Sus scrofa: one gene and its partner. The protein of the gene in region 2 binds, or shares a complex with, the protein of the main gene of each other region. Links are inferred from orthologs where the notes say so. Each region holds a gene or a part of one and is shown on either strand. Other genes may lie near its edges.

What was found.
Region 1: PIGC (region 2) and PIGY share a complex: the UniProt entries of both Homo sapiens proteins name them as parts of the glycosylphosphatidylinositol-N-acetylglucosaminyltransferase (GPI-GnT) complex. The link is inferred for Sus scrofa from reciprocal best matches to the Homo sapiens genes PIGC and PIGY.

The regions. Positions count from the first base shown.
Region 1 is NC_010450.4:130,526,147-130,530,680, reverse strand, and holds PIGY (phosphatidylinositol N-acetylglucosaminyltransferase subunit Y), read right to left. Parts: upstream 3,111-4,534; 5' UTR 3,039-3,110; coding exon of another isoform or gene 2,836-3,038; intron 1,738-2,835; coding exon of another isoform or gene 1,596-1,737; 5' UTR 1,507-1,595; coding exon 1,291-1,506; 3' UTR 698-1,290; downstream 1-697. UniProt on the Homo sapiens protein: Part of the glycosylphosphatidylinositol-N-acetylglucosaminyltransferase (GPI-GnT) complex that catalyzes the transfer of N-acetylglucosamine from UDP-N-acetylglucosamine to phosphatidylinositol and participates in the first step of GPI biosynthesis.
Region 2 is NC_010451.4:114,824,405-114,827,410, forward strand, and holds PIGC (phosphatidylinositol N-acetylglucosaminyltransferase subunit C), read right to left. Parts: upstream 1,575-3,006; coding exon 681-1,574; downstream 1-680. UniProt on the Homo sapiens protein: Part of the glycosylphosphatidylinositol-N-acetylglucosaminyltransferase (GPI-GnT) complex that catalyzes the transfer of N-acetylglucosamine from UDP-N-acetylglucosamine to phosphatidylinositol and participates in the first step of GPI biosynthesis.

The DNA of each region.
Region 1 (4,534 bases), on a different chromosome or scaffold from region 2:
CTTCCCAGGCTAGGGGTCTAATTGGAGCTGTAGCCACCAGCCAGAGCCAGAGTCAGAGCAATGCCAGATCTGCTCTGCATCTGCGACCTACGCCACAGCTCATCGCAACACCAGATCCTTAACCCACCGAGAGAGGCCAGAGATCAAACCCACAACCCCCCAGTTTCTAGTTGGATTCATTAACCACTGAGCCACAACAACGACGACGGGAATGCCTAACCTCATGTTTTAAATTTTCTTTTTAAGGGGAAGAATCACTGTCTAAAGCTTCTTTTACACTACTTTAAAATTCTATTAAGAATCAGTTAAGGTTACATTGAGTTCTTAGGCTTCATGAGGGTAAATACTGAAACATTTGTTATACTTCTGAAACAGTTATTGTACTAATCAGTCTTATTGAAAATTCTGGAAAATCAATAACTATTAATGTGTCAAATGCTCATGCCCTTAGTATTGCTAAATAAATAGGTCTCTTATGGCAGAAAAATAAACTGAAATGTGGCTCAATAATCGCCCTAACTAAACTCAACAGGACACAATCAGCTATTTGCCAGTCTTTCAATTCCACCTCTCCTCACAGCACATACTTTCCTGGGAAATTCTGTTCTATTTTGGGTGCCTCTCTAAACATATAATTTCCTTGTCTTTGAATTATATTCTTGTGACCAAAAGGAAAAAAAAAAAAAAACCAAACACAAAACTGCAAATTGTTTTATGGAAAATGTCAATATCTTATTAATAATGTAAGCCATCTGATGCCAAAGAAATGAAGGCAATTTTACCAACTCAGAATTTTGGCAAGTACATGAAATTTACATTTTATTATAGTTTTATATCACACTAGTCCAAATGCATTTCTCTACAATTACTCCCCATAGCTCCTTGGAATTATCTCAGTCATCCTTCACATGTGGCTTTACCAAAGGCTTTGAACCTAAAAACAAACCTACAATTTCGAATTAGTAATTTTTAATTATGAATGGGATAAGAACAAGCCATCAGATGATGGCTGTGGGGGTGCTAATTTCCAACAAGCCACTTTGTTGAAATGTTTCTTCCGAGAGACCAGGTATAAATCAGAACCTTCAAAAAGCAGGGGAAGAACCAAAATACAAGAAAGAAGCCTCTTGCAGCTTAAACGTCACATAGTCCTAAACCTCTGACAAAGGCTAATAAGCAAAGCCTCTTTCCTGCAAAGTCTGGGTTTCCAGTATTTCCATGTGGCGGAGCTTTCGGACACACTCACTCAAGCATATCATGAGTTTAAATACCATCGTGGCTCCGGCTGCGTTAATTATGCCGGAAGAGTTTAATACCCATCCAAGTCCAGAGGTGGAAGAACACGTAAACGGGGATGGTGATGGGCAGGAGCAGACTGTAGAAGCACAGGCTGGCTGTGCTGGTGCAGCCCTGGGGGAAGCTCTCTTCCACGGAGGCGGAGTACAGCAGTCCTCCCAGAGAGACCAGGGGGACAAGGACAGTCAGCGTGGGAAGAGACAGAAACATTCTTCTCTCCCACCCACCACCCGCCACGCTGGCTTCTTCGAAGGTGGATGGTGTTTAGAAAATTTCCTTGTGTTGTGTTTACGTATGACCTAGTGCTGCTTCATTTCTTCTTGCTTCTTATTTTGATGTGTCATCCTAGCTGCCTGTGGTATCATATTAGGAATCCCGTCAATAATCGGATAGGCTATTCCCAGCTCTTCATTAATCAATTCATTTGTCGATGGTTCATATCTGAGGGGCAGAAGAAAACCAAAATGAATCCCGGAAGAGTCTGAGGTTCAATAAACAGTAACATTTATCCAATTCTTCACACAGTTAGAGCCAGAAAAGCAGAATTAGACTGTTTTTCATTCTAAAAGCAGCAGTAGCCAATTCAACCATTTCTCTTAGAAAAGGAATCTCTAATTGTTCCCATTTTAGTCTGTTTCTCTCATTTTCTTTTTCACGTTATTCTTAAGCTATGCCTTAGTGGAAAAAAAAAAAGAAAAGATCTCTCCTTTTCATCCAAATATTCCTTCATGACTCTTTTAAACCCTCAAACGATCCCAGCTAATTTACTACTGGAACAGACACGAGAGGAAAATTCAGCTTCTTCGCTTATCAGAACACCTGCCTCACTGATCCATGAGAAGGAAACCACGGAAGCAGCAATCTACCACCCAAAGGCAGCCACTGATGACACTGCGGTGTTTGCTAGTATTGTCCACGTTCAGGTTTAGCAGCCTGCAACTGCAGAGATGTTTATCCTAAAGAGTCTAGGTGAAAGGTTAAGAAGGCCTTTACAGAACCGGCTGGTCGAGAACTAAAAACCAAAGGGCCGCACACGTAGCTGATGCGCTTAAGATCCTACCCGGCGTTTTCGCAACAATCTGGAAGCTATCACATTTTTCATCGCCTTGCCTTAAAAATCTGAATGCCATGGATTAGTCTTCCGAATCCCGAGTTCATAACCCTGGCTGTACAGGAAGATCACTTGGGATCCTTTCAAGAAAATACGCAGTTGCTCTGGCTCGGCCCCAAGGCCTTCGGATTGAGCCCGGGTGGGGCGTTGCCTAGAGATCTGCGTTTTAAGAAGGATTCCCCCGAGATTCTAAAACGCTGCCGGCGGAGAAGCTGCCCGCCAGGATCCAGGCCTGCGAGTGGCCGGTTTGGTCCGGGAGGCCTGGGGCTCGGCTGGGGCCTCCTCCCGCCCTTCCCGCGGCGGAGCGAGTACCCGGGAAGCTGGCGGGCCCGGGTCCAAAACATGGCAGCGAAGAACACCCGGGTGACCTGAACGTCTCCCCGGCGACAGGGGGCCACCAGGGAAAAGCCGCAGCGGACGAATCTTACCTGAGCGGCTTCTTGGACAGCGGGCACACCAAGAACTCCAGCAGCGCCGGGTCGAAGGCGCGTGGCGGTTTCCCCTCCTTCTTGTTCTCGTCCGCGGACGGCCGCGAGCCCGAAGCGTGCAGGCACCTCCTGGCGACCGCGGACGGCGGCGCGCGTGTCCCTCGCAGCGCTAAGGCGAGCCGACCGCGCGCTCCGCTCAGCATGGTCTGGCCGCCGGCGCGCGGACCTCCGCACCCCCTGGGCCGCTCCGGCCGCTCCAGCCGATCCCGGGGAGTCCCGCCCAGGCGGCCAGGCCCCGCCCCCCGGTGCTCGGGAAACGCTGCCCCCGACGGCTGGAGGCCCGCTCTTTGGTTCCGAGGGCGCTCGGGACCCGACTGCTTTTCCCGCGGCACCGCTCGGTATGGAGAGCCCCGCCTGCAGCCTGGGCTTTCTGCGGCTCTTCCTGCCCGTTTGCAGGTTGCAGACAAAACCCACGCTCAAGTGGAGGCGTCCTGAGTTTTCACCAGGGCCTGTCGCAGGGCCTCCAGGAAGCCAGTGGCCGGACCTCAGAGTCACACAGTGATAGACTTGGACCTCCGTGGTTATCACCAAAAGGAGGTTTCCAACACACTGTCACACTGGGTATGTTAAAAAGCATTACTTGTTTTATGTGTATCTGTCAGTCTTTGCAGTACCACACTTCCTATAACCTTGTTTGGCTTTTTTTTTTTCTCCTTTCATTAAAAAAAATATAAGAACGGGAAAAGAATGGCTTAGTCCTCTTAAACTTAAGATGCCCAGTTTCTTACCCTGGGCTCAATGGCATAATAATAGCACCACTCATTTGCTTCTGTAAATGAGCTTGGAAACCGCAAGGAGTCTAAGTAACTGTGTCCTTTAATTAAGTGGGTGATCCACACAGTGGTTTTTTTCTCGCCCCGCATTTGCTTCTGACTCTCCCAGAAAATGATGCGGATTTGATCTCTTTCTTATAGTGTAGGAGGTAAGTGCCGGGGGTCCGGGCCTGACACCTTGGTCCCAGGTGCATCGTTTACTAGTTGTAGGGCTCCCGCAAATCTCCTAACTCCCCAGCTTTCTTTTCTTTTTCTTTTTTTTTTTTTTTTTTTTTTTTTTGTCTTTTTGCCATTTCTTGGGCCGCTCCCGCGGCATATGGAGGTTCCCGGGCTAGAGGTCGAATCGGAGCTGTAGCCGCCGGCCTACGCCAGAGCCACAGCCACGCGGGATCCGAGCCGCGTCTGCAACCTACACCACAGCTCACGGCAACGCCGGAACCTTGACCCACTGAGCAAGGGCAGGGACCAAACCCGCAACCTCATGGTTCCTAGTCGGATTCGTTAACCACTGCACCACGACGGGAACTCCCTCCCCAGCTTTCTTATCTGTGTAATTAGATTAATTATTGTTCCTACCTCATATAATTCCATCCTGGGGCTTAAAATGTGCTAATGAATGCAAAGAGTATTTAGAAAAATGCCTGTGGCAAATGAATGCTCAGTTAATGGCATATGTTGTCATTTTTATTTTCTCTATTCTTTGCAGCCCAGTATACTAGAAGATTCTTGGTTAGTCATCAAAATCCACCCCCTTTTTTTGTCCTTTTAGGGCCGCACCTGCAGCACATGAAAGTTCCCAAGCTAGATAGAGCTCAAATACGAGCTGCAGCTGCCAGCGTACACCAGAGCCACAGGAAAGCCAGATC
Region 2 (3,006 bases):
GGAGATAAATAACAGAGCCTGCATTTAGTACACAGAAAAAGGCAGACAGAAGTGACTTTACATGCACACATATTTTTTTTCTCTCTCTCTTTTAGTGCCGCACTCATGGCATATGGAGGTTTCTAGGCTAGGAATCCAATTGGAGCTGTAGCCGCTGGCCTACACCACAGCCACAGCAATGCCAGATCCGAGCCTCATCTGTGACCTATACCACAGCTCATGGCAACGCCAGATTCTTAACCCACTGAGCAAGGCCAGGGGTCGAATCTGCGTCCTCATGGATATTAGTCAGATTCGTTTCCACTGAGCCACGACAGGAAATCCACACACATATTCTTTGTGTCCCTTTTGTCTGTCTTCTGCTTACAGAAAAATTGTGAGACAACTTGATGGATGTGTTGTTAATTTTTTTAATAGATAGAAACCACATCACTTCATTTGTTACATTGAATGAGAGGCAATAATTGAAGAGGGCCCCACAAAGCTTTTCCCGCCACAAAATAACAGAAAGGATAAGCACCTTCACCACCCAAGCCTTTGGTTAACTTTTTCTTTTGATTTCTGATCTCCCACCCACATCAGCATGCTGCTTCCAGAATGGAATTCTGCCTTCGAATCTTATACTAGTTGGAGGGCTAGTCTATCAGTTTGTCTTAGTAACAGAATGGAAGTCACCAAACTCAGCTGAGGAACCTGGACAAGTCTTCTTTGATTTCAGCCTCATCCCAAGGCCCATGAATGTTCTCTTTAAACAGCTGCAAGCGAATGAGGTAGAAAGGACAGAGACATGAGATGGAAACCAGCAGAAGGGCAAAGAGTATGGCTCCCACAACACTAATGGACAGGAGGCCTCCCAAGGCTGAAAATGCAAAAAGCAGTGTGACTCCCACATAACTGCAGGGAGTACATGCCTTCAGTTTTTTCTGTAACATGGGCCACAGGGCAAAAATCTGGATGGCAAATGTCACCATGATGAAGGCATGTAGGGACCGGGGCAGGCGTGAGGCAAGGCAGACAGAAGCAAAGATGGCCATGTTCAAGGACAGTGTGCTGGATACAATGGCAGCATTGGCACCATAGTCAAAGAAGATGAGGTGGCCCAATAGCATGAAGACTGACATGGCATAGATGGTGTCAGTGCTGACAGACTCTGTCAGGGTCTTCAGCACCGGTGAAAAGCCGTATGTGAAAGTAATGAAAACTAGGGCACTCTTCAAGTCAGCCCACCGGGTCCGCCCACTCTTCTTCCGTCCTTCACCTCCATCAATGAGATCAAACAAAACATAGCCAATCAATGAAGAGGCCAGGCCAGTCCCGAAAAGCCAGTGGGGTGCCAGAAGACCCTCATCCATATACCACCAGATAACCACAAAAACACAGACACTGCATAGCTGCTGGATCACCACACTGGACTCAAATACTACAGCCCAATACTGGTATTTCCGGGCATAGATGTTTTTCCGGAGCTCTTCCAGGAACCTTCGGTCCACATAGTTATCAGGAAAGGGCTGTCGCTCATACAAGACCTTCTGCCACTTGGCCTCTTTGGTGTTAGTTACAGGCTGTGAACACATTATCCTTTTGCTCAAACTCAGGCTAGTTCAATCTCCGTTGTAGAAGTCCATGTGGTTCTTGTTCTTTATAAAGTTTTGAAATAAGACCTCTCTGGAAATTTCATGTTGAATGTGGTTGATATGGTACCAACCTTCCCTTGCTTTCAAAGGCAGAACCCAGGCTAGACCTTTAGTAGATGAGTTTGTTCTCTGAGGCAGGACAATATAGCCAAGTTCCTAGAAAAAGAGAGACTGTGAATCTATGAATGTTGTGAAAGGTCAAGGGTAGGACTGAGTTAAAATCAAACCAACTTATTGGGTTATCATAAGCTTATTAGAAGTCTGAACAAAATATATATGGTGGCCATCATGTAACTGAGGACATTAAAATTTCATTTCAGATTTTACATTATAATCCCTTAGCAGCTACCATTTGTCAAGAGTGCATACTATGTACTAAGAGCCTTACGTAGCTTCTTTCATTTAATCTCCACAATCCTGGAGATTAACCCAACTAATAAAGCAGCAATTCAAAGTGCTTAGGTAACTTTAGCCCAAGTTAACAGTGGTAATTAGTGGAGCCAGATTCAAAGGAAACTTCTTTCCCAAAGGCTTCACATGTCTCCCTCTAAACTAGTTCTTAACTCAGGGGTTCACATATCCCTGAGGTCTATGGATGGGCTTCAGACCCTTCAACAACCCTCCCAGTCAATGCATATTTGTAGTTGTAATTTATGCAGATTTCTAAGGCTAGGATCCAAAGCTTTTACTGGGTTCTCAGAGGCATCTATTACTGAAAAAAGTTACCGGTCTAAAAACAAAAACCTCATAATAATAAAGGTACAAGCTCTAAGGTTTATTTAACTAAAGCCAAGGACTGGAGATTCTTAATCCCTTGACCGAGTTTAGCAGCCTTAAAAAGAGTTATCATTCTACTTATTTAACGCGAAACTCTAGGAAGGATCGGAGATAATGATCTCCTTTCCACTACTGCAAAACTAAGAGTCAGAAATACCAAGATCATCCAGCAGGTCTGCGAAGAAAATTCTTATGGCCCGACCTTACGTCTTCCATGGAGACCATGATAGGTTTTGCTTCACAAACCAGACGCCCTGGGAGGCTCCCTCACCGCAGCAGGGACCCCAGCCCCGGCATCTCACGGCCGCCGCAGGGGGCTGGAGGGTCCCAGGCGCTGAAAAGGGCAACGCCCGCCCGCTGGGTCGGGGACAGGGCTGGGGAGGGGGTGGGGAAGGGGAGGGTGTCCCCGAGGGTGTACCCCGCCCGCCGCCACCCCTCACCCAGCCTCGGCCCTGCGGGGGATGGCGGAGGAGGCCCGGAAATACTGACTCCCACTCGGAACCCACCTGCCCGCGAGTTCCTAGGGGTGCGCGGCCGGGCGAGGGCGGCCGCCCGCCTCCTTCCCCATCCGGGGCGCCGGGGTCGCGCCGGCGGC